7 separate regions of the Mus musculus genome follow, and regions 2, 3, 4, 5, 6 and 7 are each reported to be linked to region 1. Evidence: microRNA targets listed by miRTarBase, many of them from high-throughput screens and not tested one by one. Region 1 holds a microRNA gene; each other region holds the end of a gene's coding sequence.

Region 1 (4,416 bases):
CTCTTGGGTCAGTGATGCTGGTAGCATGTTACCATTAATGGGCAAAGACATCTAACATTACAACCATTGTTTATTGTGATATTTTTATTATTGTTTACTAGATTTTGTACATGCTTTTTTTCCTAGGTCAGTCCTTTGCAACCTTACAGCTCTGGAGAGTCATGAGCCATTTAAGGAAATCAATAAATGATTACCTGATCACCTCTACCTAGGTATTACACAAGGTAAAGGAAGAAATAGAAACATGAATTTTCTTTGTGAGCTTGTACTTGTGGATACCTGAAGTCCTAAGATTCCTTCATATTTTCATTCTATCTTTAGAGATCAGGCCCTGTCATAAAACCTGGATAATTTTGAATTGTTTTATTTGATTAATACATTCCTGAAGGTAGAAATAAGATTACAGCTTTATATGCATCAGAAAATGCTATGGCCTCTTTAAAACCACACATTAAGGAATTGAAAGTGGTCTGCAACCCTATAGCAAGAAGAACAATATCAATTATTTAGACTCACTCTCCCAGAAGTCCCAGGGACAAAACCATCAAAAAGAGTTCAAAAAGAGGGACCTAGGTCTCCATGCTCATAGGTAGCAGAGGAAAGCATTGCCAGGCATCAATCACTGGAGAGGCCCTTAGTCCTGAGAAAGCTTTATGACCCATTCTAGGAGAATACCAGGGCAGGGTGCCAGTATTTTGTGTGTAATTGGGTAAAGTAACATACTTATATAAGATTTCCCAGGGGGTTCCTGTGGAGGACTCTGGTAAAGGGTGTAACATCTGAAATGTAAATATAAAATATCCAAAAAAATGGAAAACAATACCACACTTCAAATATTTTCCATCCACCATATTTGATGTGAATAATATAGCACACAAACATTGTTTACAACACTGAGTTGCATTTATTATATTTCAGATTTATGGACCACTGCAGCTTTTCATTGAAACTGAGTAATCATGGACTAGGGAATGGGCAGAATATTAACCTTGGTATTAAAACAATTCTTTCTAGATGCAAGAATAAATAATATTTTTTCAAGTAAAGAGTATATACAGAGCATACAATTGTTAAATTGGAAAAGGAGACAAAGGCACAATACAATTGCCCAGTAGGCAGCAAAAATGTCAAGAAATACGGTGAGTGGGCTCAAAAGCTAACAGAGCATCCCTGTAAAATAGCTTAAAGATAATCAATAAGGCAGAAATAGGACCACCCCAAAGTGTTCAGTGAGGTATTTTTCTGTAGGTCAGTGAAGAGAAGAGAGGGTAAAACAGTTTTTTTCTGCACTTCACTTTCAATTATTCTCATTTCTTCTGGGAAGGCAGGGAGGAGTGTATGAGTTATGAATCACCAGCACTGATGTAGATATCCAAGGTTACTGCAGGCTCTGCTGTCCATGCCTAGATATGAGATCTCTCTTCTGATTGGATCTCATTCCATTCTCTATTTGAATGCACATTCTCCATCAATCAGAAGCCAGGAGACCAAATAAATTGGTCTGCAGGGAAGGATTTGATCAGTCAGGCTTCTGGCTATATTCCAGGACTTACCTGGTCCTGGATATAACCAAAGCCTGACTATATGGTGCTAAAGACAAGGAAGAGTGCTTCTGTAACTGACAAGAGATGGAGCCAGTGGACAGCTCCAAGCAAACTGCTTTTTTTTGTTTCAGAGCCTCCATTCTCTGATTCTTTGGCTCCTAGTTCCTGTACAGGGAATGCCTCCACATGTGAAATTCAGGCATCTGCTGTCCATTTCTTGCCTCGGTCATGCAGGGCTGTGCCTTCTGTAATGAAGATACAACATTCAATCTTCAGCTTGTGACACAGACTACAGAACAATTTTGGCATTTTCATGTTTTTAGATCAGCCACTGTGAGTACCACGATGGCAGCAGAGGTGCTCAACATACCAGATTTGAGTATAAGAAAAATTAGATGTGATTAACAGGCAGAGAAACTACCATACCCACAATCCAAGCAGTGTTATGACAGTGATGCTGGTAGCATGTTACCATTAATAGCCAAAGGCATTCAACATTGCAACCATTGTTTATGGTGATACTTTTGTTGTTGTTTACTAGATTTTCTAAATGCTTTTCTCTCAGGTTGTCCTAAGATTTCATGATATTTTCATTCTATTTTTTTTTTTGAAATCAGGTCTCTGTCATAAAATCTGTATAATTTTGAACTGTTTTATTTTATTAATACATTCCTGAAGGTAGAAATAAATTTACAGCTCTATATGCATCAGAAAATGCCATGACCTCTTTAAAACCAAACATTAAGGAACTGAATGGGATTTGCAACCCTATAGGAAGAACAACATTATCAACTATACATAGCCCCCATAGAGGTCCCAGGAATTAAACCACCAACCAAAGAGTACACAAGGAGAGAACCATGTCTCCAGCCTCATAAGTAGCAGAAGAATTCTGAGTCAGGCTTCAATCAGAGTAGAGGGGCTTGTCTCTCATAAGGCTAAATGCCCCAATGTAGGTGAAAGCCAGGGTGGGGTAGTGGGATTGTGTGTGTGGAGAACATCCTCATAGCACCAGTGGGAGGGGAGATTGGACAGGTTTCTCTGGGAGGGAATTGTGGAATGGGCATACAATTTTAAATTTAAATAAGAAAATATCCAGTATAGAAATATAGAAAACAATCCACACATTAAATATTCCACATATACCATATTTTGATGTGAATATTCATACCATGTAAGCATTGTTTCAACACTCAGTAGCATTTATTATTTTTCAGATTTATGGAAAACTGCAGCTTTTAATACCACCCGAATACAGGTAGAGCTAGGCATGAGCTGAATATTAAACTAAATAGACAAACACCTCTTTGTGGATACATATTATATTTTCAAGGAAAGTTCATACACAGAGCATGTAACAGATAAATTGGATAAGTTGAAAAATGCACATCACAATTGTTCAGCAGGCAGCAAAATACAGAAGATTAATGTTACAATAAGTGGGCTAAAAAAGAAACAGCACATTTCTGGCTAATAGCTTAAAGCTAGGCAGAAGGAGCCAGAAATAGGACCATCCCCCAAGATTCTACTGACTTCTTTTTCTGTAAGTCAGTGCAGAGAAAAGAAGGTAAAGCAGGTTTTTTTTTCTGCCCTTCACTTTCAATTTATCAATTTCCTTCTGGGAAACTAGGGTGGAGGGGGTTGAGGTATCAATAAGCAGTACTGATGGAGATCTCCAAGGTAACTGCAGGCTTTGATGTCAATGCCTAAATATGAGCTCTATCTCCTGATTGGATCCTATTCCATTCTCCATCAATCAGAAGCAAGGAGAGCAAATAAATATGTCCACTGGGAAGGATTTGATCAGTCAGGCTTCTGGCTATATTTCAGGACTCATCTGGTCCTGGGTATAATCAAAGCCCGACTGTATGGTAGTAAAGACAAGGAAGAGTGTTTCAGTAACTGACTGGAGATGGAGCCAGTAGACAGCTCCAAGCAAAGTGCTAGTTTGTTTCAGAGCCACCATGCTCTGATTCGTTGGCTTTTAGTTCCTATACAGGGACAGTCTCCACATGTGAAATTCAGGAATCTGCTTCTACTGTCCATTTCTTGCCTCGGTCATGCAGGGCTGTGCCTTCTGCAAAGATGATATAGCATTCAATCTTCAGCTTGTGACAGTTTGGCTGGGTGGTTGGGGGAAACAGCCAAATAGAAGCAGTGTGAGGGAGTATTGGATAGGTTTTTCTGGGGAGGAAATGGGGAAACAGTATAACTTTTGAAATATAAATAAAGAAATTATCCAATAAAATTTGAAAAAATTTAGCAAAAAGTCACACATTGAAAGGTCCACATATGCAACGTTTTGATGTGAATAAACACAGGATATAAACATTGTTTTCACACTGAGTTGCATTTAATATTTTTTCAGATTCATGGGACACTGCACTTTTCTATTTTTTCTTTTTTCTTTTTATTGAATATTTTCTTTATTTTCATTTCAAATATTTTTCTCTTTCCATGTCTCCCAAACAGAAACACCCTATCCCACTCCCTCCTTGTCCTGCCACTATGAGTGTACTCCCCCACATCTCCACCCACTACTCTCTTCCTGTCCTAAAATTACCCTATGCTGGGGAGTCAGACACCCTCAGTCCCAAGGGCCTCTCCTTCCACTGATGCCCAACAAGGCCATCCTCTGCCAAATATGTGGCCAGCGCCATGGGTTTCCCAATGTGTATTTTTGGATGGTGGTCCATTCCCCAGGAGCTCCAGGGGGAGGGGTTTGGCCTGTTGACACTGTTGCTTTTTCCATGGTGCTGTAAACCCCCTCTGCTCCTTCAATCCCTTCTCCAACTCCTCCTTCTGGGATCCGCGGGTTCAGTCTAATGTTGGCTGCAAGCTTCTGCCTCTGTCTTTGTCAGGCTCTGTCAAT
Region 2 (4,416 bases), not on the chromosome of region 1:
ACCTTCTAATAGCGTCTGCTCACCTCCTCACACTAGAGAAAGCATGGTAACACACAGCTGGGGCTGATGACCCATTTTTTCCTTACTTAGAACCCCTACTGTTAAACAGAGAAGCAGGAAGTGTCAGTCAGAACCACATCACCTGATCACTCATTCAATAGCAGTTATGTGGCCTGTTAAGTTAAAGGGCACCACAGCGATGTCTGCAATGTGGACATTTTTATTTTGTTTTAAGCAAGTTTCAGTTAATTACCCAATTGTACTAACTCACTGACATTAACTTTCAGGAGTTATTGGACATTCTGTTAACTGTTTTCTTACAGTGCTGGGGGCTGCACTCAGGTCCTTGCAGAGCTAGACAGGTATTCTACTTCTAGGATGTGTCCCCACTTGTATCCAGAGACTAAATTGTCTAGAACAAGAGTCACTGTTACTGGCTCCTAGCGGGAGGACTGAGTCTGGATGTTAATCCTCCTAGGTGAACACCTTTGCTTTTCCAGACTGTTAGTCCACAGGGACCTCTCCCTATATAGAGGCCATCCTAAAAAATAAGCTCAGCTACAAATACATCATTTCAAAAACTTCACACTTCCTCAGCGTGCAGTTTAACAAAAGTCAGATAAGTACAAAGAAGTACAGTGTATTTCACTAAACTTCGGTAACAGCCCCGAGAGCAGGCAGAGACCAGTTACTCATCTCACCTTGCCTCAATTTCTTTTTCAGCTGACCATGCTGAAAGTGCTGTTGAGCTTAGGCCAGAGACAGCAAGTCTTTAAGGTCATTTCAGTCAGTGCCAACTTAAACAGTAGATTTCAACAGAAGACAAACGTGCCATGGTTTTTACTAAGGTGTAGTGACTAGTGCTTGCACTGTGTCTTCAGTATGTTGGCATGTTTATGTATTAGGATTAATGGTAATAGGCACATTATGTGTCAGAAGTTGGGTTTATAGTTTAACACCATTCCTTCTTGGTCTCCTCTTCAGGTTGCTACATGGATTCAATGCAGAAGGCATCCACTTCTCCTAGCCATTTGAAAACTATTTTTTCAAGACCAAGAAAAAATGAAATTATACAATCCTACTATTTGAGAATACAACCAATTTTGTTCTACAGGACATCATTTAAATTATTTAATAATACTTTTTTACCATTTATTATCCTGTATGTGAAAGGTGGTTGGGTATATATATATATGTATGTATGTATGTGTATTATATTATATATAAATAATACCCTGCCCTTTGTAGTAGACCTAGTGTTTTATATATAAATATAAAAATAATGGTCTTTAAGTTTGAAAGCCACAGACACACACAACATACACTTAAGCTTTCTAACAATTTATTGTATGAAGACGTTACTTTTATTCACTATTTTAGACTGTGAGGTTCACGTAGGCCTACAGCTCACTCAACTAGTCAGAAAGCCCCCAATGTGACTTTTCTTCACACACCTTCACCCTACGTGTTATTATTTGCCTCTTGCAACACAAACAACATCATAATTCTGGGAGCTGAGTCTGCTGCAATGACAGTACAGGCAAGTTCTGCATAAGACTACCTGTAAAATGCAGAAGCTTAGAAAGTAAAAACTCATGTTAAATCACATATTTCCTTAAGGGAGACAAGATCTACAATTTTCAGATTTAGAAAAACTCTGGAGGGTTTTGTCAATCAAATAGGTGGTCTCATTAATTTATGATTCATTTCCTTTCTTGAATGAGAGGGTCTTTTGGAGGTTGACTTTAATCTCAGACTCTTGCCTCAGCCTCCTAAATAAATTCTGGGGTTATACTTGTGCAAAGTAAGTTTTCCAGTTTTAGTTTTCAGCTTTTTAAAAGAACAGACTAAAACTACAGGTTCCTGGTTATTCCTGACTTCTAGATAATTAAAATTCTACTACCTGGTGTTTCTTTTTAAGCTATTTAAAAATTGTCAGATAAAAGATAAATGCTGTTTATATATTTTAATAAATTAGCTGTTTTATTTATATAAGGAAACTAAACTAGCTTCTCTATTTATACTTAAAACTTAAAAGGAATATCTCCAATTACTTGAGAAAAAGAATGCTAAGTAAACTTAATATAAATTGCTCGCCTACAGTTTTTCCTTCAAAATCCAGTTTCTAAGTCATATAGTAAACACTTATTATAGTAGCTATGAATAGTTAGCAGCCTTTAAGTTTGAGACATTTCTAAAGAATATTTAATCTAGAACAAAAACATTTGCTTAGCTGCAAAAGCAGCTTTTGTCATATTGATCAGAACTGTTCTTAAAGTTTGTTTATTGTCAGAACAACTTTGCACAGTTCACTTGTACCATTCTCTACCTTAGGGAAACAATTCTGCTAGACTAGGCTTTCTCAGCTTATTTTCTTCCAACTAAAGCTTTCCCTCCGTAAAGCTGAATCATATTTTACCTACCAAGATATTTATTGATGTACTCTGACTACAGATCAGGACGAAGCCAATAAGGAAACATGTATCTATAAAGACCTTCAAAGATAATACCTGTCCAATGCCAGTAACATTAAAGCTCAACTGTTAGGTAAGTTATGAGCAAGTTTGTGTCTTTATTGCCCACTATATATGAGACATTCTCAGAACTGGAGGCAAGGTCTTTGTACATAGCTCTGGCTGTCCTAGAACTTAGTATGTATACCAGGCTGGTCCAGAACTCAGAAATCTATCTACCTGCCTCTGCTTCCATGTGCTGGATGCAACTAAGGGCATGCACCACTATACCCAGCAAAAATTACCTTCTTTAAACAGCTGCTGCAAGGTCAATAGAAATAGTCCTTCATTCTTCCTCCCGTCTTTGAAACAAACACAAATAGAATATAGCATAAAACTCCAAGAAAACCTGAGTTCCTTCCAAAACAAAGCTAATTATATTGAAGTACATTATTTCTAAATTCGTTTCATAAATTTCATTTATTAATAAGCATATTGTGAAAAAATCTACATTTGATTTAGATTTCATGTTTACAGAGTTTTCACCATGGTGTTCGGATTCCTCAGAGCTACTCTCATCATTTATGACCAGTGAAGTAAAGAACCTGGCTCATGACTCTTCATGGATTTCCCCTCGGTACACTGAGTCATCAGTAGGCTCCCTAGAGTTAAGAGATCCATGGGAGGTTCTTTGGTTAACCTACTGGACTAGATAGTGGGAACCAAGGGAAAACTCCTAGAGATATACATATATATATCTTTAAACAATATTTACATGAAAATTGGCCAGTTTTCTTTCTTAGATTAGCAGCTAAAAATGAGTGCTGCCATTAATAGAGTAGCCTATTTTGCCATCAATCTACAGGCGAAATATGATTCTCAAAAACCATCACATACTAGGTTTAGATGGAGCTTGGAATAACCTGCCTCATAAGTCATCAACACTTCTCAGGGGTACATACTGTCTATGCTTGGTTTATCTAACTTGTATTAGGGATTACTTTCAGTGTACATACAAATGTTCATGCATCAGAAGCCAGTTTCCTTTAACAGTACATTAAATTTTGGTGAGTTAATAAACACTTCAACTTAAATAATGGCATTGTTAAGGACCAAATTCCACTATTAGTCTTGTTAACACCACTGGCACACACACTGCATATGTATATATGTATTATCCTAAAATAAAACTCCTCTCAGAATTTCTTTACTTTTTACTATACACCAACTAATTCATATTTTAGGTTTTTTTTTACAAAGAAAATGCTAAGAAAATTATAATCACATAATTCCAGATTTCTTTACACATAAGATGGAATGGTCCAGCAGCTATGTCCACTGTCACAGACTTTAGTTCCGTTCAATTGATATGGCACATCCTGCAAAATTAACTAGTCACACACAAAAAAATGTCTCAAATACAGTAAAAATGTACACACAGTAAAGGTAATTTACAGTCACAAACAAGGAATGTAATTAATCTCGGCTGTTTTAGAAATCTAGGGTCAATAGCCTTAGCCAAGGCACAGAAGGATGAGTAAGCACGAGTGTCTCTAGGAGTAGGCAAAGTATGTACAATCACTCATGAGGTATGCATGCACGCAAAGGGTTCAAAATTGCTCAGTCTTGCTATGAAAATTGATCTGCGTTAAAGGAAATTCTGTGGCTTCCCCTATCTTCCACTTCTGGATCACTTCCACAATCTTTAAATAAAATTGGCAAGGATATCCAAAAGCAATCACTATTTATTTGGGCAAATGAAACAAAATACTTCACTAGTCCGAATTATTAGTTGTGCCTCTTGGTCTAGAAGCATTTTGTCGACAAAGGAGTGTTTCACAAAATTGAAATGTCATTCAGATGAAGGACAAGATATTTTCCACACACTTAAGATTTCAAAAAACGTTAAAAAAAAAAAAAAAAAGATTTCAAAAACGTTCAAGTGGCCTTTACAGTCGGACCA
Region 3 (4,416 bases), not on the chromosome of region 1:
CCCCAAACTGCAAGAATACCTCGGCAAATTCCGCCGCTTAGAAGACTTCCGAGTGGACGTGAGTGAAAGTCTCTCCTGACTCCTAACTGTCCTGTAAAGAGAGCATCCCTCTCCTGTCTGTGACGTACACGTGACAGTGGACAGCAGCAGGTGCTCACTAGAGTTGTTCCCAGCCTCCCTCCTATTGTCACAGCCTACCTGCTTATCCAGGCCCACTACTACTAGTTTGTGTCAGGATCAGGACCAGCTACTCTGATAAATATACTTGTTCCTTCTGGGAAAAGAAATTTGTAAATTAATTTTCAGTCCTCCGTTGTCGAGAGCAGTGCCTAAACAGTGACACCCTGTGGTGAGTCTGAATAGTGCTGTGCGTGTGTCAACGGCTGCCTCTAAAGGCGGCTTCATTGACTCATCTTTGTGTCTGTGCAAAGTACTTCAAGTGAGATTTTCCTTCAAGAAGTCTGTGGTATTGGGGGTTTACCTCAATGGTAAGATACATGTATAACCCATTGAAGGCCCTGGTTTTAATGACCAGCACCAAAGAAGGCAGAAAGGCTTTTAACCAAAAAGTTTGTAATGAGCAGACTCTGATACTCAGGCTGTTCTCTTGAGAACATGTAACAGAAAAGTGATAGGTTTAGGTAAGGATCAGCGGTCGTCCTAAGTTATTGTAGAACTGACCCTTCCTGGTGCCCAGACTGTGAGCACACTCTTGTAGGTAAGAGTGTCATCAGTTTACATACCTGTAAACTGGGCTTGTTCTTAACTACTCTGGGGAGGAGATGTGTGCTAAGGACCAATGGCTGGAACTTAGTACCTGGAAAATAGTTTGGGTGGCATTTGGTGATAGTAGGGCAAGCTGAATCACAGTCTTCATTGTTGGCTCACGGGCCTGGTGAAGGCTGGAATAAGACAGTTCCCTGTGGAGCCAATACATGCACCATGTAGCATTCCACACACCACAGGTCTTTTCCTAAGAGACCCTTTGTAGAAGGGGACAAAAATTTATAGGGTCAAACTCTGGTCTTTAAGGATATGGACCTAAATATAGGAAGCCTTTGACAAATTATGTGTTTGGTCCGTTTCCTTATTTCTGGTACTGTCCACATGAAAGGACAGGATGTAAATCAAACCATTGTCCTCATTTGGAGATGGAACGGAGACCTGATTGGTTCTGGAAAGTGGTGTGGCTAGTGTTCTCTGACCACTTGTGACTCCTCTGTTACAGCCCCCCATGGGCGAGGAAGGCAACCACAAGCGACACCCAGTGGTAGCAGGAGGCAGCGGAGAGGGCAGGAAGCGGTGCCCTTCCCAGTCTTCCAGCAGGCCTGCCACTGGGATCAGCCAACCCCCTACGACACCTACTGGCCAGGCCACTCGAGAAGATGCCAAATGGACAAGCCAGCACTCGGACACACTGACTTTGCGAAAGTGAATGGCCTGAAGCCCCCTGGGGTTTGTGATAGAGGGGTGGGGTGGTTGAGGATCTGTGGGGTGCCCAGAAGAGCGAACAAGAGAAGGGACAGACCTAGAGTACTAAGAATGGGCCTTTGCGCTAAGTAGCAGTGTATACCATTTGGGCTATTAGCGGTGCTCCTGGGCAGGAGCCTCCAAGTACCCCATCCCTCCTGTCACCATGACTTCCATCATAACTTCTAAGGGGGGAGGGGAAGGGGGGAGATTTTATATATATATATATATATATATACATATATATATATCAAGTTTTAAATTATTGATAGTTTGTCTGGATTACCAAAATCACTCTTTAGCCCTTCCTGCGGCTATTATGCCGACCTGTCTCCCCTGCCTCTTCCCGCTTCCCTCAAGCCAACTATGCAGCCCACCAGAAGGCTCTGGCGGTGCCCATGGGCCCCAGAAGCACCAGCCCCTTGATCACCTGGGGTTTGCCATCACCGTGTCCCTGCTGTTCCACATGCCCTTCTGCCACCTCTGGGGGAAGGAAACCAAAGGATCTCAGTGGGGGTGGGAGCTTCAGCCTCTCCCCTCGCCCCCTCGCCCCACCCCAGAGACGCTGCTCACACCAGAAGAGACTATTGAAAGATGATTCATTTTATTTTTTCTCTGACCTTTCCATCCTTGGGAAAACAGAAAAACAAAACAAAAAAACAAAAAAAAAACAAAAACGAAAATAAAAAAGAAAGAAAGAAGAAAGAAAAAAAAAAGACAAAATCGACCACTTTAAAAAAAAAAAAAAGACAAAAAACCAGAGCCCACCTACTCCATAGAAAGTGATGTCTTTCCCCCTCCTTGGAATTTTTCTTCTGTTCTGTTTTTGGAAATAATATTTTTTTAAAAGTTGCCTTATTGTGGAGCGGGAACCTGAACTAATGCCCAAATGCCTGTTTTCCTTGAGCCTCCGGAAGAGCTCCACCTGCCCGGGATGTCCCTGGACTTGGACTGACTAGAACTTTCCTCGAGACTGAGTTGCATGTACGGGGCCTCCTACCTGGAGGCAAGAGTTGGGGCAGTTCTATCAGAGCTGTGCCCAGGACACCCCTGCTGTTGCATTGTCTGAAGCCAATGTCCTGTGTCTGCACACTGTTGCCACTGTCCTTGTTGTGCTTGCTGTCGCCTCTCCAGGCCCACTCAGCTCTGCTCCGCCCCGCCCCGCCCAGCCAAGCCCTGGGAAACCCCAAGGCCAAGTTTGCTTCAGACTGTTGTAAACATAATTGGTCTTGCCTGGTACACACTTGTCCTCAGTGTGCACATCTCCCCAACTCCAGAACAAGGGGTTGAACACCCACTGATGTCCACAGCTTAGGTCTGTGTCTAACCTTAACGACCTTTGACCTCAAGGAGGTGGAGAAAAGGTACCATTCTCTAAGGGTCTGGTGTTGTCTTTCCATCTTATTACCACCACCCCCTGCAAGCCATCTCTGCCCACCCTCTCATTGGCCCTGCCTGGGATCAAGGGGGTGAGAGGAACCAAGGGCTGGGGAATCCTACCGTTTGGTGAAGCCCCATGGCAGGAAGGTATATGTGGACATAGAGTATACCTGACTTCTCTTCAAAAGCCAGACTGCCTGAGCTGCACTTGAGATGCCAGAGGAGTGGCTGGAGGCTGCTGTCACCAGGAGCTGAGGAGGGTAATGAAGGACTGAGCACACAGGCTGGGAGACTTCATGCTAACCCTACACTTGGACCTAGGTGGCACAAGGGGGTGTGGTCTTTTTGCTAGCTTAACTGAAATTTGTGTGACCCTCCTCATCGCCCAGTTCCTCTATTGTCCCAAAAGTTGGGACTGGGACACAGCATCCCAGGCTGACAAGAGCTTGCCTTCTGTCTTTGGGCACCTTGTTACTTTGAGCTCATGCCTTGCCCCACTCTGTCCTCCCGGTGCTTAGGATGTGGGAATCCCTTGTCAGCTCCTGTGACTCACTTGTCGCAAACAAATAAGGGAACAGGATCATCTGCTGCTGGGATCTGAGGCCTTCTCCTAAGTCTGGTACCTGCCCTATGGTGCACCTTCACCAAACAGTGGGCTCCCTGCTTCCCTTTCTCCTCTCCTCTCCTCACTCAGCCCTCTACTGTATATCCAGCACCACAGAACCTCAGGGCTTGAGGCCCAGCATCAGGGAAGGTGGTTTCCATCTAGGCTATCCAGACTAGGGTTGCCATTCTCTCCCAGATCCTCCCAGACCCTCTGAGGGAAGAAGCCCCTCTGGGGTGGGAAGGCAAGGCTATCATCTCAACACAGGCTGAGGAGGGGTGGGAGTGTGTGTGTGTGTGTGTGTGTGTGTGTGTGTGTGTGTATTTTTTGTGACATGTTAAGAGTTGATGTTGCGGAGTAGTTTACATCTTCACCTTCTGAAGACACTTGAATTTAGGACCGATGTATCTGTGACAAGTATGCCAGGAGTGGGGGTGGGGCACCAGAGCAAGCCACTTCCCCATCACCATCTTCCCATGGAATCCAAGACCTAAGACAGACAGCCTGCCAAATGGAACCGCCTTCATCCTCTGCCTGTGCAGGGTTAGACATCCACCTGGCCCCAGCAAGGGGCAGATGGTGGTTTGCAAACCTGTGAGCCTCAGAGCAGATTTGCTACTCGGAGGGAAGGCTGCCTGGCCCTGCTCCAGCCTGGACCGCAGGTTCAGACAGGTGCTGAGCCCCGGGTCAAGTTGTTCAATGTTTTTGTTCTGTAGCTCCTTCCCACTCCTTTTTGATGACATTTACAAAAGAAGGCAAGCTGCTTGGAAGGTCTGGACATGAGGGAAAGGGCATTGAGGACAAGGCTAATGGTGGGGAGTGCTAGAGGCTTGGGTTCCCCTGTCCCCTGGATGGGACCCCAGAGTCTCTTGTCACAGGGCCCCTAGGTTTTCCCCAGCTCCCACCCTCTCCTCCAGCCATGGTTACGGCAGAGGCAGAAGAAAACTTTGAGCCCAGTTCTC
Region 4 (3,000 bases), not on the chromosome of region 1:
GCAGCAGGGTGTGGCTCTTCCTCTCCTGTAGTGGCAGCTGTGGGCTTTTGATTTCTTTTAAAATAAACACAGAAATATCGTCTGAATGTGCTTTTGTTTTAATCCCAGGTGTGCGATGTGGGGCGGCTTCAGGCTGCCCACAGCAGCTGATTGTGATCTGCCTCGTGCTCTGACAGATGTGTGGTTTTGCCAGCTGCAGAGAGTTTCTGCAACTGTGTGAATTCTGGGTCTATAAATGCTAGGGCCTGAAAGAGGCAGAGTTGATGGTTGGTTGAAGTTTGTTAGTAGTTGTGCTCAAAGAAGAAACAAAAGGAAAGAAATCAGATTCAGGTATCTCTTTTCCCTCTATCCTTGTTTCTCTTCTGTCTAGTGTTAGGGGGTGAAACTAGGGCAGGGTGGGGGAAATAAAGGGTGGGAAAAGAATCTCCAACAAAGGACCAAAGACAGCTATACTCTCCCCCTTCCCCAGGCCTCTTGAGGGATGAGGCCAGATACCCAGTGTACAAGGGCTAATGAGTCCACACTTAACTGGTGAGTTCGCAGATCTATTACTGCCTGTGCTGTCTAGGAAGCAGAGCACAGCCAGGAGAGCAGGCTGCCCTGTGCCTCTTGATTAGATGTGCAGTGTGACCACAGTGGACTAACGGCTTCCCCATCTTCCATTCCTTCTTCGCTTTCCCCAACCCCCACGGGTTTGCAGACCCTGCAGTTTTGAGGATCCTCAGAGACTGGGCTTACCCCGTGGCCTCCACAGATGCAGCACAGAGAACTCAGGAAACAAGCCACGTGCAGGGCTGTTGCTGAGGTCAGGGCTGCTCCCGAGGTCAGGGCCTGCTGGGACTGGCTTGGAGCTGGGACTGAGTTTCCTGGTCACCCAGGGATCGTGCCCTCTGAGTGCCATGCCTGTGTCACTGTGGTCAGTCCTGGGCCTGTATGAGCACCACTTTAGCTCAGGACAGTGAGTGACTGCCCAACAAGTGGTAGGCTTAGCTGGCAGCCAGGGACGAGCACAAGCTAGCCCTGCTCTGAGGCCTCTCAGATGTAGTTGACACTCAATGACAATAACTAGTAGAAGAGGGTGGTCTTGCTGTGGCACTGCTGGTCTGGAACCTGACATTGCCCGCAAGGGCCCCCAACCCCACATAAGTGTTAAGTGGAACAACAGAGACCTGCCTGTTCATGGGCGCCACCTATGAACAAAGTGGGACAGTAAGGAGTCCCTCTGGGCAGACATGCCTGTACATCTGCTCTCGTGAACCTGGCTGCTGAGGGTCTCTTGAGCTTTTTATTGTGTTCTGAGGTCTTATGTGCAGTCCTTGCTGACCTCCTGGAGCTGGCCATGTAGCACAGGCTGGCCTTGAACTCGGAGCAATACAGCCTCAGCCTCCTGAGTGCGGTATCCCCTGCTTAACCGCCATGCCCAGCTCTCTTCGATTATTAGAACCCTCAGTGAGCTAGACGACGGCCCTGTGTCCAGGAGGTGGGCCCTGGGGGAGTCACGGCAGCTGGCCCACCTCATAAGATCCAGGATTCAGCCTGAAGAGTGAGAAACTGGAGCCAGAGATGGGGAGAAGCAACTAGTACCAATGTCCCCAGCACGGCAGGCTACCCAGAGCCCAGGGAAAAGGTCACCAAGGGCACGTGGCAGTAGAGTCACCAGGGAGAAAGCACCTGAGACAAGGTGGAGCTGTGGACCCTGGCAGCCCTGACCTACAGACACTGGTGCAGTAAAACCCAGGACCAAGGCTCGCGTGGGTGCTTGGAAACACTTTATTTAAAACTCTTTTGAAAAGACAGCAATTTATGCCATGAACAGAATAAGATGCTGACAAATGTTTTCTTGCCTGACCTGCCACCAAGCAGGTCTCTCTGGCCCTTGAGGGCTCTACCACTGGTAAGGGAAGTCCCTGCCTGAGGAGGGATGCGGTTGGCTCTGGAAGGTGACAGGGCAGGGCAGAAGGACTCCATTCTGTCTGGGCTGTCCTACATCTGCTGGGAGCAGCCACAGCAAGTGGCCCGCCGGTGCTAGGGTTTCTTCTGGGTCATCAAGAGAAAGCACCAGACAGGAGCCACCTCCTCAGAGATCACATGGCTTGGGGACGCCACCTGTCACACAGACAAAGCCCTGGCCACACCCACGCTCCTCCCTCTACACTCATCCCACATGTTTTTGATTTTTTTTTTTAAAAATATAACTTTGTAAATGCTCCATAAAAATACTGCTCTTCCTAGTCAAACCTGGGTATTGCGATAGAAGAGTAACTGCTTTGTCTTTGCTCTAGAAAACATGAAAAGATTATCACACAGGATAAGATAGAAAAACGCAGGGTTCCTAAATATCACAAAAGCCAGTACCAAATGCTCACGGTGGAAGCGAAGCTAGGGACCGACCGGGTGGGCTGGCAGCCTTGGCTGGGCACCTCTTCCCCTGGCCCTGCTGGGCACAGCTTAGGGCACCTCATCCTTCTCCACACACAGACACCAAGTCTGGGAAAGGCAGCCACCTGCTCTGACCCAATGGCCAGCACTTGCCCCTTGAAGCACCGAGGGCCCAGTGCTGCTGGCCAGGACCTGGTGGTCCTGCTTGATGACAAGGGGCCAGCTAGCCAGGATCCCAGCCTGGGGATTCTGAGACCAACTCTCCTTGTGTAACATTCCACTTGGCCTGGTGAGGCGCACTCCTGTGCAGGTGCCAGGGCAGAAGGGCAACAGCCCTATCCCTTAAAGCGGGAGTGTGTCTTCTGCCCCATAAGAGGCGGGTGGCCAGGCTGTGCCTCAGTTCTCAGAGAGGGACAGAGCCAGGGCAGCCTGGAAGGCAGCTTCTTCGTCGATGCTGTAGTCCTGGGGAAAAGCAGAGATGCATGAGGGAGGAGCAGGATGGCTCCCAAACACCCACTGTCACAGTGTGTCCCAAGCCTCCTTCACAGAATGCCTGCCCCAGTTCTTACATGTGTCCCCAAAGGTAGCCTTGGATCGTGTGCATACCAGTGCTCTGCAGGT
Region 5 (4,416 bases), not on the chromosome of region 1:
AGTGGGGCATGGTGGTGCACGCCTTAATCTCTGTACTCAAAGGCAGAGGTAGCCTAGTTTTCATAGTTTCAGGGCAGCCAGAGCTACATAGAGAGAAAGGTCTTATTTTGGGGTGGGGCAGCTGGCTGGTGAGGCAGAGGCAGGTAAGTGGATCTTTGGAGTTTGAGACCAGCCAGTGTAGTCTACAGAACTACTTGTGTAGTTCCAAGACAGCAGGAATACACAGAGAAACCCTCATTGGGAGTGTGTGTGTGGGTGTGTGTGTATGTGGGTGGGATATACAAGTGCTCCTAACCACCAGGGCATCTCCCTAGCCAGTGGGGTGTTTTTGTTTTGGTTTTCCCATGGTGGTGCTTTTAATCCCAGCACTCTGAGGCCGAGAGGCAGGTGGAGTTTGAAGCCAGCCTGGTCTACAAAGCAAGTTCCAGGATGGCTAAGGCTACATACACCAAGAAACCCTGTCTCAATAAAAACAAAAAACAAAAAAATCAGTGTATTTATTTGTACTTTTTTGGGTGGGTGGTCTCTTCTCTCTCAATATATGGGTCCTGGGAGTGGAACTCAGTCTTAGTGGTAGGGCTCCTTGTGGCACAGCCAGTAAGAAAGATCCCTGGATGGGCAGCCAGGAGAGGTTCATGCTTGCCACTCTTCCAGAGAAGTTTGGGTCTCAGCACTCAGACCATATAGTTGTGACCTGCTGCCCTCTTCTGGCCACCATGGGCACTGTACACAAGTAGTGTACACACACAAAACAACTAAAATGAATTTATAAAGAGCCCTGGAAACCCAGGGTTCTGTGCTGTGTGCTGACCCTTAGCAAAGCCCTGATGGGCTGTTCACAGCCATGGAGTGGCAGGTGCCATAGCCTCAGCATCAACAAGTGGCCAGGTAGTGGGATGGAGTGAGCAGGAAGCAGTGTTCTAGACACTGGCAAGAGCAGGCACCTGGGCTAGGAGCACACTGTGCATCCGGGGGGACCCTGTGCCCCCTCCTTTGCTATGGCAACCTGAGGTGAGAAGGCACATCACCTCTTGAGTGCATGTACCCATCTGTGGGCTGAGAATGTGTCGTGGACAAGGGGAAGCCCCATACATGTGTACACATTAGGCATGCACATCCAGCTCCCTCCCAGACTCACATGGCCCTCAAGTTCAAGGCAAACACCCACATGTGACAGACAGCTTTTCTGCCTCAGCCCTGTGGGCTGCCAATGGTAGAAGGCACTGTTGTGGGCTCTGCTGGGGCGAAGAGGGGACCCCTGTTCTACCAGGAAGGATGCAGACAGCATGCCAGCTCCCAGAACTGTTTAATCTGATCCTGGCACTCCTGCTCACCCTCTGTGTGGTCTGAGAACACATGGCAGGTGTGTGAGCAGCTGTGAGCTCTGCCCTCCCACCTGAACCTGCATGTTCCCTGCATCTCAGTGGGACTGTCTCTGTGCTCGCCATGGCAATGCCCTGTCTGAGATGCCATCCCTCAGAGGCTCCCCCTTTCTGCTGGGTTCAGCTCAGCCTTTCGTAGAGGACTCCCACCCCCCTACTTGTTCCCCTCTATGATACTATCTGGCACCCGTCAGACCAGAGCCACTTCACCATGCCAGCAGGAGCCCTTCTCCTCTTTGCTGCAGAATGGCGAGTTTATATTTATTTTGTGTCTCTCCCAGCAGACTATGTTGTCTCCCAGGGGCTCTGCCAGTCTGGTGGACAGCTATGACCCCAGTGTCTGGGCACAGAGATGTGGAGAGAATGTCATAGACACATAACCTCAGTCTGCCACCTGTCTCCTGATTGTAGGCACATAAACCCACAGTAAAATTACCCACACTCCAGGAGACCCCTAGCTCCTTCCCTGACCTCTGACCGTGTACCTCAGCCCAGTATCCCCCAGTCTCCTCCGGAAAGAAAAGACACCACTCTCCTGCACTTTGCACAAAATGTATTTCTGTGACATCCTGAAGTACAGACATTTCCCCAGACCCAGGTAGGAAAGCAATGGGATGCGAGTTCTGCTCAGGGCCTGCAGGGCCAGAGGACGTGGGATGGAAAGGATGGGCTGAGGCTGCCCAAGTGCTGCATGGGCGAAGCAACCTGGCAGGGAGAGTTTCCTCTGGGAAGATCAGTCGCCTCTCCCTGAGTTCTGGGAGCAGCCAGGCCCCTTCTGACTGTAGGCAGGCAAGCCCGGAAAAACGGGCACAGAGAAGAAAGAGGGCAGAAAAAGCCACACCAGAGGCTGCTTCCAGGGCCAGCTTTGCTCCCTAAAGCCTGCTTATGTGCATGGGTCTCCTCAGTAGCTACAACAATGAAAAGCAATGCTGAGATACAAGGACAGGGTGCAGGAGATATCCAGAGAGCTTGCTGTTACTGCCTGTCACACAGCGCAGCAGCTTCTCAGGGACAACCTGACTGGGCTGGAGGGACAGAGGACTGTCCAAGTGCTGGTCTGGAGGTGGCTTCCTGCTGCCACTGTGAGGCTGGAGTGGGGACCTCCTGCCTTGGAGGGAGCTGTAGTATCTTCTGGACAGCGGGTGGGCTCAGCTCTGCTGCTGGTGGGAGTACCTGGGCACTGGGGTGCTGTGGGCAGATAAGGGCTACAGAACAAGGAAAGACCCTGGTCCCGGAAGGTGCCAGCTGCCAGAGCTGAGGCGGTTTGGGGCATGTTTGGCAGAAGGGGCAGTGTAATTGCCCCTGAGTTCTGACCCTCTCTGGGCTGCAGCCTTCAAAAACCTAGGGGCCTGAGGGAGACTTGAGGCAGCCTTCCTCCATAGCAGCATGGCCACAGACAGGCCTGGCCAGAGAGCAGTGGGCCAACAGAGCCCTGCTTCTCCAGGGTCCTCTGGACAGGATCTGCTTGGCCTAAGGCCTGGGAACAGCTTACTCTTTTGGCCCCAGATGGCTCACAGCCTGGAGCACCAAGGCTTCTGGGAAACCCAGTAGGGCTGGACTTAATCCTAAAGCTTGCCAGCCTCACTCACCTGGGAACCTGGGCAGGGCACTCAGGCAGGGATCAGGGATGTTGAGTAGCCTGCTAAGGGCCAGCTCCTCCCACAACAGACAGAAGCCAGGCCAGGGTCAGCTCACTGGGAAGGGGCCAGGCACTCACAGCATTAGAGGCAAGCCTGGCTGGGGCAGGAGGGAACATGGCAGCAACCAAAGCTTGGAGGCGGACCAAGAGTGGCAAGGAGCTGCAAAGACTCGGGAGAAGTCATACACACAAAACTTCACACTTCCTAACCAAAAAAAAAAAAAATATATATATATATATATATATATATATATATAATATATATCTCACTAACATTAAGGAAATGCGTCGGCTGTGCAAGTCCTCGCTGTTTCTTCACCCTGTAGGAGGCTCCGCAAAGGGACCTGCCCACTAGACCTCCAGCGCTTCCTCCCGGCCTGTGGTCCGAGCTGTGTGGCCTCTATCTGGACGTGTCCATGTTCTCCTCTCTAAAGTTACTGCAGTGCTCAATCACCTTGCTGGATAAAACCGGGGAGAGCATTGGAGGGTGGCTAAGGAGAGCGGCTCTCCTGGAGCCCCACAGCTACTTACTTACCAAGCTTTAAGAGTGACCCTGACGTAGTCTTGAATGGTGTTGCCAGTGATTGGCAGCACACCTGGGAAGTAGTACCTGTGGCCATGAATGCTGCCACTGCCCTCAACTTAGGAAAAGGAGGAAGTCCTACCAGCAGCCATGCCTAACCTCCCAAACCCACTGCTGCCCTCTTCAGCATCTGCTCTGCCAGCCAGCAGCTCTTCCTCTGCTCAGAGGCCCACAGGGGCCCCCCAAACAGACTGAAGATATGCACAGGCCCTCAGTGTGCCAGCTCAGCCTACTCCCCGAGAACACTGCCACCCACTGCAGTTCACCCTTACACTGCTTGCCTGTTCAACTGGGAGACTCAGGGTTTTGGGGTTTATTGCAGCCTCCATTTGCTGACAGGCTGCACTGAGGGCTTTTGAGAAGGAAATTCCCAGGATAGTTCATTCCTTGAAGCAGATACCTGCTGGCTCACACACTGCAGGCCTCAGGGGACCAAGAGGGCTCGCTGACAAGCCCCACAGAAAAGTCCTGGATCTTGTCTAACATAGATAGCCCCAAGCCCACTGGTAAAAAATCTGCAGGCAGCTGTTCAGTTCTAACACTTTCCAGGGGACTCCCAAGGGACACTGAGTTCGAGGACCAGTCAGTTCAAACTGAACCAGTCTCTTCACCAGAAAGACTGAATGGCAGGGTGCTGGCTGGGGTCTCCACAACAGAAAGGCGTGGGGATGGGGGGTGGGGGTGTTTCTGAGGCTCAGGCTATCCCGTGCTCAGATTTGTGACAAAGGAATAACCTCCCAGAGAGCATGGATCCAGGCACGAGGAAGGCAATGCAATCCCACTGATTCTAATGTAGTGTACATTCTAGTGCA
Region 6 (3,000 bases), not on the chromosome of region 1:
GACAGAGAGAATTTGAGCAATATAAACAAAAGAAAACCACAAAATAAAATAGCACAAGTAGATTTGTTTGATAGTATAAAAGTAGTCATTTAAAAAATGATTTATTGTCTACTTAATGTGTATGTATGTATGTTTCTATGTGAATGCATGCCATGTGTGTTTGGGTGCCTACAGAGGCCAGAGCGAGTGTCAGCTCTTCTGGAGTTACAGACAGTTAAGGACTGCCTGCCATGGGTGCTGGGAAACAAACTCTGGTCCTATGGAAAAGCAGAAAGTGCCCTTAACTGCCGGGACACCCTCCAGTCTCTAAAACAGTCATTTTTAGCTTAATTTTTTTCATTTAATATCAGAATGGGAATTTACAGACCATGAGCTTTGATAGTTTCTCACAAAATATGGGTATTCTTTTTGTTTGGTTGGTTTGAGTTTTGAATAAACAGACCAGGCTGGCCTCGAACTCAGAGATTTGCCTGCCCCTGCCTCCCAAATGCTAGAATTAACAATGTGTGCCACCACACCCCATCACATTAATAGTATGAATAGATTGTTTTTAAAATATCGTTATCAAAGCTCTTCTAAAGAATTTATAAACTTTTCTTCATATATATATATATAATTATTAAACATATTTCTATAGCTCATGACAATTTATTTCCCTACTATCTGTAGCTAATTGTGTGATTCATATTAGTGAGATATAATGATTTCTGCCTCCGTGTTATCAATGTTGAATAAGAAATGGCACCTTACGTAACAGGCCACCAGTGCCTGCTGAGCATGGGGAACTGCAGTCGGGGACAGCAGGAGCAACTCCATAATCTGGGCCACTGTCAGTGCTAAATGCATAAATAAATAAACTGAAAGGTCATGAATGCTCACGTTCATCTCACTGTAGACAAGAGACCACAGACTCAGCGGATACTAGAGGTATTGTAATCCATGTGCAAGGCCATAGTTATCAAACTCACTCCTCCGTGTACAGCTTCCCCAGTATACAGAAAGCTACCAAATGCACCAGCTCTGGAGGCTGCAGGCAGTGAGTGCTACCTTGCCTCTCCCACTGGAAAACCCAAGTCCTGGAAAAGGTAAGTTATTTGCTTTATGTTGTTAACTATTAACCAACAGAGAAAGACTCAGAACTACAAACCTGGGGCGCTGACGAGGGAAGGTGGAGCCATCTACCCTCTAGAGAAGTTACTGGTCTTGGAAATAATAGAAACAAGACAAAAGCCCAGGTCCATGGACTCTAACTGGTTTTTGTCACTGGGTGGAGTCTGGCCCTCAGCTGTAACACCCACTATTGATAGGCCGTTGATTGGGAGGAGAGCGAGGGGTTGAAGAAACTATATTCTAATGGGAAGAGTTTGGATTAATGCTAAGCATTGTTGAAAGTGTCTAACACAGAGACTCACAGTTACACAATTCAAAGAGAAATTAAAGCCATCTGTGCCTTTTCTGTTTCTCGAAATGAGCGTGTTCTTTCTAATTCACAAAGGGTGATTGACAGGTGTGGGGACCCCAGAAGGGCATCTGCTCAGGCTCTGATCCGGGTTCCTACTCAGAGAACCAAGATGCAGCCATGGCCCTGGGTCAGCAGCATCATGACTGTAAACAATCACTGACATGTCACATATCACTCACAGCAACAGGAGCTTCTCCTTCCTGTAAGAAACACAATGGAAGTCTGTAGTTCAGGCTTCAGCACTAAGCTTAGGGAGATCTAAAATACAGCTTTTTATTCCCTTAGATACATGAGAAATGTGTCTATGTGATTGAATGCTATTATTGGATCTGATATGAGTACATTCAAATACAGGATAGTTTCTGAAAAATGCCACCACCTTCAACCAATGAGAGGACTGGAAATCCTGAAACTTACAACTGTGACATCTTGCTGAGATACAAGTCCCTTCTGCCTAGGAATACTTCACCCACCTCAGGCCCCTCATTTCTCTCTTCCAGAATCTTCAGAAACCCACTGTCATACTATTATAGATGTGATATTTATTTACTCTCAGAGATTTAAACAGCAGTAAAATATCTCTGAAGTTTAAAGGACAAGCCAATCTAAAAATGGCTCAGCTGATAAAGCCATTTGCTATTTGAACAATATTAATTTTTACATTAAAAAAATAAATAATCTAACTAGGCTTTATTGTACCTGCCAGTCTTTTAAAAGACTTCACCCCCTCAATTGAAATCTACAGTGAAGGCAGAGTATAAGAATTTCTGTATAGTATTAAATGTCATTCCAGAGGGGAAAGTATGTAGACCAAACAGTACGCCACTCCGATGACAGGAAGTGGCTGACAGCAGGCTTTCTGTTTCTTATTTGATGGATCATGGGTCCACCTTGACACAGAGAGTGATCTCCATAGCAAGAGTCAATGTTAACCGGGGGGGAAGATCCATCCTGTGTGTTCCGGATCAGTCCGTGGAAGGTTTCTTCCAGAGATGAAGAGCTGCTTGAATTCTGAAGTGTAGCCTGGACTCCAGGGAGTAATCCTTATAGTTATTTCTGAAGACAAGGATAAAATTGTACAGTCAGAACTTACCCTCTCTAGGGGGGTGCCGCCCCCTTCCTCTGCCTCCCTCTGACCCCTTACATCTGACTCTAACATGTTCTACTGGAGCAGAGTAAAGAGCAGCGTCTTTCTGTGGGGCAAAGTGAACAGTGAGTCTGCATTCTTGCTTTCCTGAGGCTTCCCCAGTGATGATTTAAGAGGTTATACCGTTGAGTAAATCATTCTAATTGCCAGACCACAACTATAGCATGGTCAAGAAGGCATGGCACATTGGCTAAATACTGCTACATGGCTCAACTTCCATATTTAAAGAGGAAAACATTAAGGCAGGGTCATATAACACAATGATCATGAACAATCCACTATTCAACAGAATAAAAATACCTTGAAACCCACACGGTTACCCCACAACAAAGACACCAGGATTTCCCCGTGACCCCAAAACCACTTACTCCAGTTCTCATGTAAGTTTTCA
Region 7 (4,416 bases), not on the chromosome of region 1:
CCATTGAAGATGGGGGCAGGGAGAATGGGAAGCCGCAGCAGGTGGTCTGCTGCAAAGCAGGAAATGGGGCTGGGGGATTGGTTTTAGAGGAGCTGAGAGAGAAGTGAGGATCTGAAATTTTCCTACTTGCTTCCCAAGCTGCATGTTTACATTTCTTTTATTTATATATGTACACTGACGCTGTCTTCAGACAGCACCAGAAGAGGGCATCAGATCCCATTAAAAATGGTGTGAGCCACCACATGGGAAGATCAGTCAGTGCTCTTAACCACTGAGCCATCTCTCCAGCTCCCAAGTTTACATTTCTAAGCCCCCCCCCCCACGTAGATACTAATGAAAATTTTGAGTAGCAGCAGTCGACTCACTGGGTAATTAAAATTCTCTGACTTCCAAAAGTCCAGAATCACAAGTACAGAACTTCCAAGATCCCAGTGCACTTTATCAGTTGATAGTTTGCCTAGTTTATACAAAGATCAGGGTTCAGTCCCTAGTATTGCACAAATCAGGATCCAGCACTTTTGGTAGAGGCTGGAATATGAGTTCAAGGCCACGGACACATAGATGGACACAAAACAGTAAAAACCTTCTAAAACAATATTCTGCATCCCTAGCCCCCAAATTCCTATATAGTTACCGTAGTTCTTTTTGTTTGTTTTTAATTTTGCTACCTCTCTGCCTTTTAAATCTAATCTTATCATCATAGTATCCTGGTGTTTATTGTTAGAAAATATGTAATTCAAGCATCCAAGACAATTCCAAAGCAATGTATAAGACTATGAGGGTACCTTGGAAAGACTAAATTTGGTATTTATAACATGCAAAGTGGCAGTGCTCAACTTTTAAATCAGATAATAGGAAGTATAACATATGTAAGTACAAATCCAAAATTTCCAAAATAATTAAGAACCTTTTTTTGGGGGTTGGTTGTTTGTTTGTTTTTTCGAGACAGGGTTTCTCTATATAGCCCTGGCTGTCCTGGAACTCACTTTGTAGACCAGGATGGCCTTGAACTCAGAAATCTACCTGCCTCTGCCTCCTGAGATAAAAACCATTTCTTAACCCAGTGAATAGACCATTTGGTTGCCTCAGAAGGAATAGAGAAACTTTGGTTTTTTTATTTTTTTATTTTTTTTTAAGCCCATAGAAGTATCTTTAATTTGCCTGATAAAAATTATTTTGGAGGCTTACTGCTGAATGAACTCACCCTCTTATTGTAGGTAGCCCTGGGCCTAATTATATTTGATGTTAAATCCATTTTCATGTGAGTGGTTGCAAACGAGGAATGGGTCAACACTCAGGTGATTTCCTGTAAACTTCACACCTTAATTTATAAAATAAAGGAGAGCTGATGATTGAACAGATAAAAGGGAAGGTGGAGAGGAAGGTGGGGAGAGGGAAAAAGGAAAAATGGAATAGGGAGAGGAACAGAGGAGTAGGAAGAAGAGAAACTGAGCAGAAGCACATGACCTGGAGAAACTGCAAGTCCTAAGGGGTCTCATAGATGTGGAAGATGGTAGTGTAGCGGTAGATCTGCCCAATCTAGGCACACAGCATGTATTCAATATAAATTGAGTTATTTTCATTACCGGGGCATAGTTGGAGATTTACCACAATACTCTCTCTAGCTTTTTTCTGAACTCTAGCTGGATGGTTCAACTCAGCTGTTCTGGCTCAAACTCTTCTCCAGTCTCTTACTCAATTTGGCTTATTTCAGCTTCTCACTGAATTGCTCTGCTTAGCCTTAAACTAACTAGCATTTTATTCTAATCTTCTGGCTCCTTATCCTCTGGCTTATTCTATCTTCCTAAAACATCTCTCTATAAAACTGCTTCCTCTCTGTTGTCTTGAGAGTTGGGCATATCCTACTCTCTGACTCATTCGGTCAAATCTTTGATTAGTCACTTTCTCTGCCCCTCAACTAGCTATCACTTTCAAACATGACTGATTCCATCTATAAACTAACCTTACTTTTCTTTCTTTTTTTTAAAAAAAGATTTATTTATTATTATACATAAGTACGTTGTAGCTGTCTTCAGACACCAGAAGAGGGTGTCAGATCTCATTACGGGTGGTTGTGAGCCACCGTGTGGTTGCTGGGATTTGAACTCAGGACCTTGGAAGAACAGTTGAGCCATCTCGCCAGCCCCTAACCTTACTTTTCATTGTTTGGGACTAAAGGTATGCACTAAAGAAATGACTGCATTCCAGCCACACCACAACTACTGTGATCTAGGGAGTACCTGTATTCCAGCTGAATCACATAAACTTAGAAAGCCTTTGGATGTGATCCCTTGCCAGAGCAGCCATATTGTTGAACTAAAATTCCTCTACATAACCAGTTATAGCTTTAATCTGTAATACCTCCTCACTGCCAAGATTTGTGTTGAAAGCCTAGTCCATCCCCAGTGAATTCGTGTTCATAAGTGGATCTTAAGTGTTGGGATTCAGACCTGGAACCAAGTGGCTGAAATGCATATTTTACATAACAAAGTGAACCTGACCTCCAGGTTCTCCCACCTGTTACAGGGCACACAATTGGCATACCCAGCCCTCTGTCATGAACTGTCCAGCTGACGTGCTGGGCTTCCCCACCCATAGAAGATCTTCCCTATATAACCCAGATATTTTGGTCTCCCTCTCTCTCCCTCCCTCTCTCCTGCATTTTCTCTCCCTGCTTGTACACTCTTTCTCTCATTCTCTTCCCCATGGCAACTTCCCTGGTCTTGTTCCTTGGGACCAGTGAACCCACCCTTATCCCTGGTCCCTTGCTCTCTGCTTCCTGGTCACCATAATGTGAGAAGCCATTTCTGCTGCATACTGTGGTTGCCTTAATATCTCACCCCACCTCAACACAAAGCAATGGAACCAGCAGACCATGGATTGGAGCCTCTGAAACGGAGCTAGATCACTTCTCTTTTAAGCTGATTTCCTCAGTTATTTTGATATAGTATCAGAAAGATAACACTTGAGTTCCTTATTTATCTTTCCAGAGATATTTTATTAATACTGAAGCAAATTATATATATTACATCCATACATACATACATATATAAATATACCTTCTACATATGCAATTGTATATGATAGAGTGCTTTGTTATAAAATCCTGACACCTTGGTATGTGAAATGGGAACATAACCATAACTAACTTTAATAAACCATACAGTTATTCAAGGTGTCACAGCAAAGGAATGAAGAAATTTACTTTATTATCTATCTATCTATTTTTGGAACAGGGTCTTACTATATAGCTCTGGCTGTCCTTGAACTCACTATAGACCAAGCTGTCCTCAAAGTCACAGAGATGCGCCTACTTCAGCCTCCCAAGTGGTAGTATTCAAGGCCCAATCCACCACAAGCCACTGAATTGCATTCTTTAAACTGTTGAATACCTCCTACAGAGGATATTTTTAGAACTTAACACAAACAGAACTATATTCATACTTGAAAGCACTTTAACAAATCAGGGATGAAAATCCCATACAGCACTTGTGGTCAGTCCATTGTTCTCTTGCTGAGTTGGCTCTGGAAGTGTGTATTCTACTAGTTGGTACAGTTGATGCCGAATGCTATGTCCACTGAACTGGGGCCTCCCAGGGTCACCAATCAGTACTCGGGTTCCATGGGTCCAAAAGTAGTTCTGCAGCCACAGATGAAGACTGTCTGCAAGGTCTTCATCATAAAACATATCTCCAAGAACAATGAGATCAAACTTACCTTGTTGGGTATTCAAAATGTTTTTAGTTAAAACAGGAAAAGGATTCAGTCCATTTAATTTGCAATTTAGTGTAATCGCCATTCCTGCAACTTTAGAAAACATGATGAATTGGTCTGTAAGCATGTATCAGTAGGCTGTTTTAATTCCTTATTATTTAAACACTTTTAAAAATCTAACATTAGGGGCCAATGAGAAGGCTCTGCAGGTTAAGATGCTTGCTGCTAAACCTAAAGAGTTCAACATCTGAAGGCCAGGAATGATGGCACACAACTTAAATCCCCGGTCTCAGATGAGACAAGCAGATCTCTGTGATTTTAAGGCCAGCCTGGTCTTTATAGGGAGTTCTAGGACAGCCAGGACTACATAGAAAGACCCTGTTTCAACAAACAAAGTTCAATATATGTGACACACATGGTGGAAAGAAGGAACCAAATCCCACACAATGACCCTGATCTCCCCATGTGGTGTACACTCACAAATGAACTAATAAATGTAAAAATAATCTAATACTTACCTTTTGTTAAAACGGATTTTTTTTCTTGTTTTTGTTGTTTTCAATTTTATTTCATATGTGTTTTGTCTGGATTCATGTCTATGTGAGTGTATTGGATCCCCTGGAACTGTAGCTACAGAGAATTGTGAGCTGCCATGTGAGTCCTGAGAACTGAACCTGGGTCCTATGGACGAGCAGCCAGTGC

The links. Region 1 holds the annotated microRNA mmu-miR-344e-3p (GAUAUAACCAAAGCCUGACUAU, at 1,563-1,584, shown strand). A microRNA usually pairs through its seed, bases 2 to 8, with sites in the 3' UTR of a target mRNA and lowers its output. Matches are read on the target gene's strand: a 7mer-m8 pairs with bases 2 to 8, a 7mer-A1 pairs with bases 2 to 7 and ends in A, and an 8mer does both.
Region 2: miRTarBase lists Dimt1 as a target of mmu-miR-344e-3p. Seed matches in the 3' UTR shown: 7mer-A1 at 1,218-1,224, 7mer-A1 at 1,262-1,268, 7mer-A1 at 1,958-1,964 and 7mer-A1 at 1,988-1,994.
Region 3: miRTarBase lists Larp1 as a target of mmu-miR-344e-3p. Seed matches in the 3' UTR shown: 7mer-A1 at 1,684-1,690.
Region 4: miRTarBase lists Rnf166 as a target of mmu-miR-344e-3p. Seed matches in the 3' UTR shown: 7mer-m8 at 2,190-2,196.
Region 5: the mRNA of Zer1 is a reported target of mmu-miR-344e-3p. Seed matches in the 3' UTR shown: 7mer-A1 at 3,273-3,279.
Region 6: the mRNA of Ttc39b is a reported target of mmu-miR-344e-3p. Seed matches in the 3' UTR shown: 7mer-A1 at 610-616.
Region 7: miRTarBase lists Etfbkmt as a target of mmu-miR-344e-3p. Seed matches in the 3' UTR shown: 7mer-A1 at 3,047-3,053.

The regions. Positions count from the first base shown.
Region 1 is chr7:61,732,707-61,737,122 of GRCm38, reverse strand. Mir344e (microRNA 344e) reads left to right here and starts at 1,521; the gene lies at 1,521-1,586. The region is part of intron 6 of A230057D06Rik (RIKEN cDNA A230057D06 gene); the gene reads left to right.
Region 2 is chr13:106,957,671-106,962,086 of GRCm38, forward strand. Dimt1 (DIM1 dimethyladenosine transferase 1-like (S. cerevisiae)) reads left to right here. Exons shown (of 12, transcript NM_025447.4): 12 at 985-2,554. The coding sequence ends at 1,027. Kif2a (kinesin family member 2A) reads right to left here. Exons shown (of 21, transcript NM_001374727.1): 21 at 1,326-4,416. Among named protein-coding and RNA genes, the nearest start is that of Dimt1, 13 kb to the left of the region's middle.
Region 3 is chr11:58,057,331-58,061,746 of GRCm38, forward strand. Larp1 (La ribonucleoprotein domain family, member 1) reads left to right here. Exons shown (of 19, transcript NM_028451.1): 18 at 1-58; 19 at 1,229-4,416. The coding sequence ends at 1,435. Among named protein-coding and RNA genes, the nearest start is that of Gm51897, 32 kb to the left of the region's middle.
Region 4 is chr8:122,464,394-122,467,393 of GRCm38, forward strand. Rnf166 (ring finger protein 166) reads right to left here. Exons shown (of 6, transcript NM_001033142.3): 6 at 1,752-2,841. The coding sequence ends at 2,776. Among named protein-coding and RNA genes, the nearest start is that of Snai3, 5.2 kb to the left of the region's middle.
Region 5 is chr2:30,095,365-30,099,780 of GRCm38, forward strand. Zer1 (zyg-11 related, cell cycle regulator) reads right to left here. Exons shown (of 16, transcript NM_001290503.1): 16 at 1,919-3,479. The coding sequence ends at 3,422. Among named protein-coding and RNA genes, the nearest start is that of Zdhhc12, 3.9 kb to the left of the region's middle.
Region 6 is chr4:83,224,707-83,227,706 of GRCm38, forward strand. It overlaps Ttc39b (tetratricopeptide repeat domain 39B), which reads right to left. Exons shown (of 20, transcript NM_027238.2): 20 at 1-2,518. The coding sequence ends at 2,428. Among named protein-coding and RNA genes, the nearest start is that of Gm46887, 40 kb to the left of the region's middle.
Region 7 is chr6:149,149,733-149,154,148 of GRCm38, reverse strand. Etfbkmt (electron transfer flavoprotein beta subunit lysine methyltransferase) reads right to left here. Exons shown (of 5, transcript NM_001252095.1): 5 at 2,978-3,807. The coding sequence ends at 3,464. Among named protein-coding and RNA genes, the nearest start is that of Etfbkmt, 10 kb to the right of the region's middle.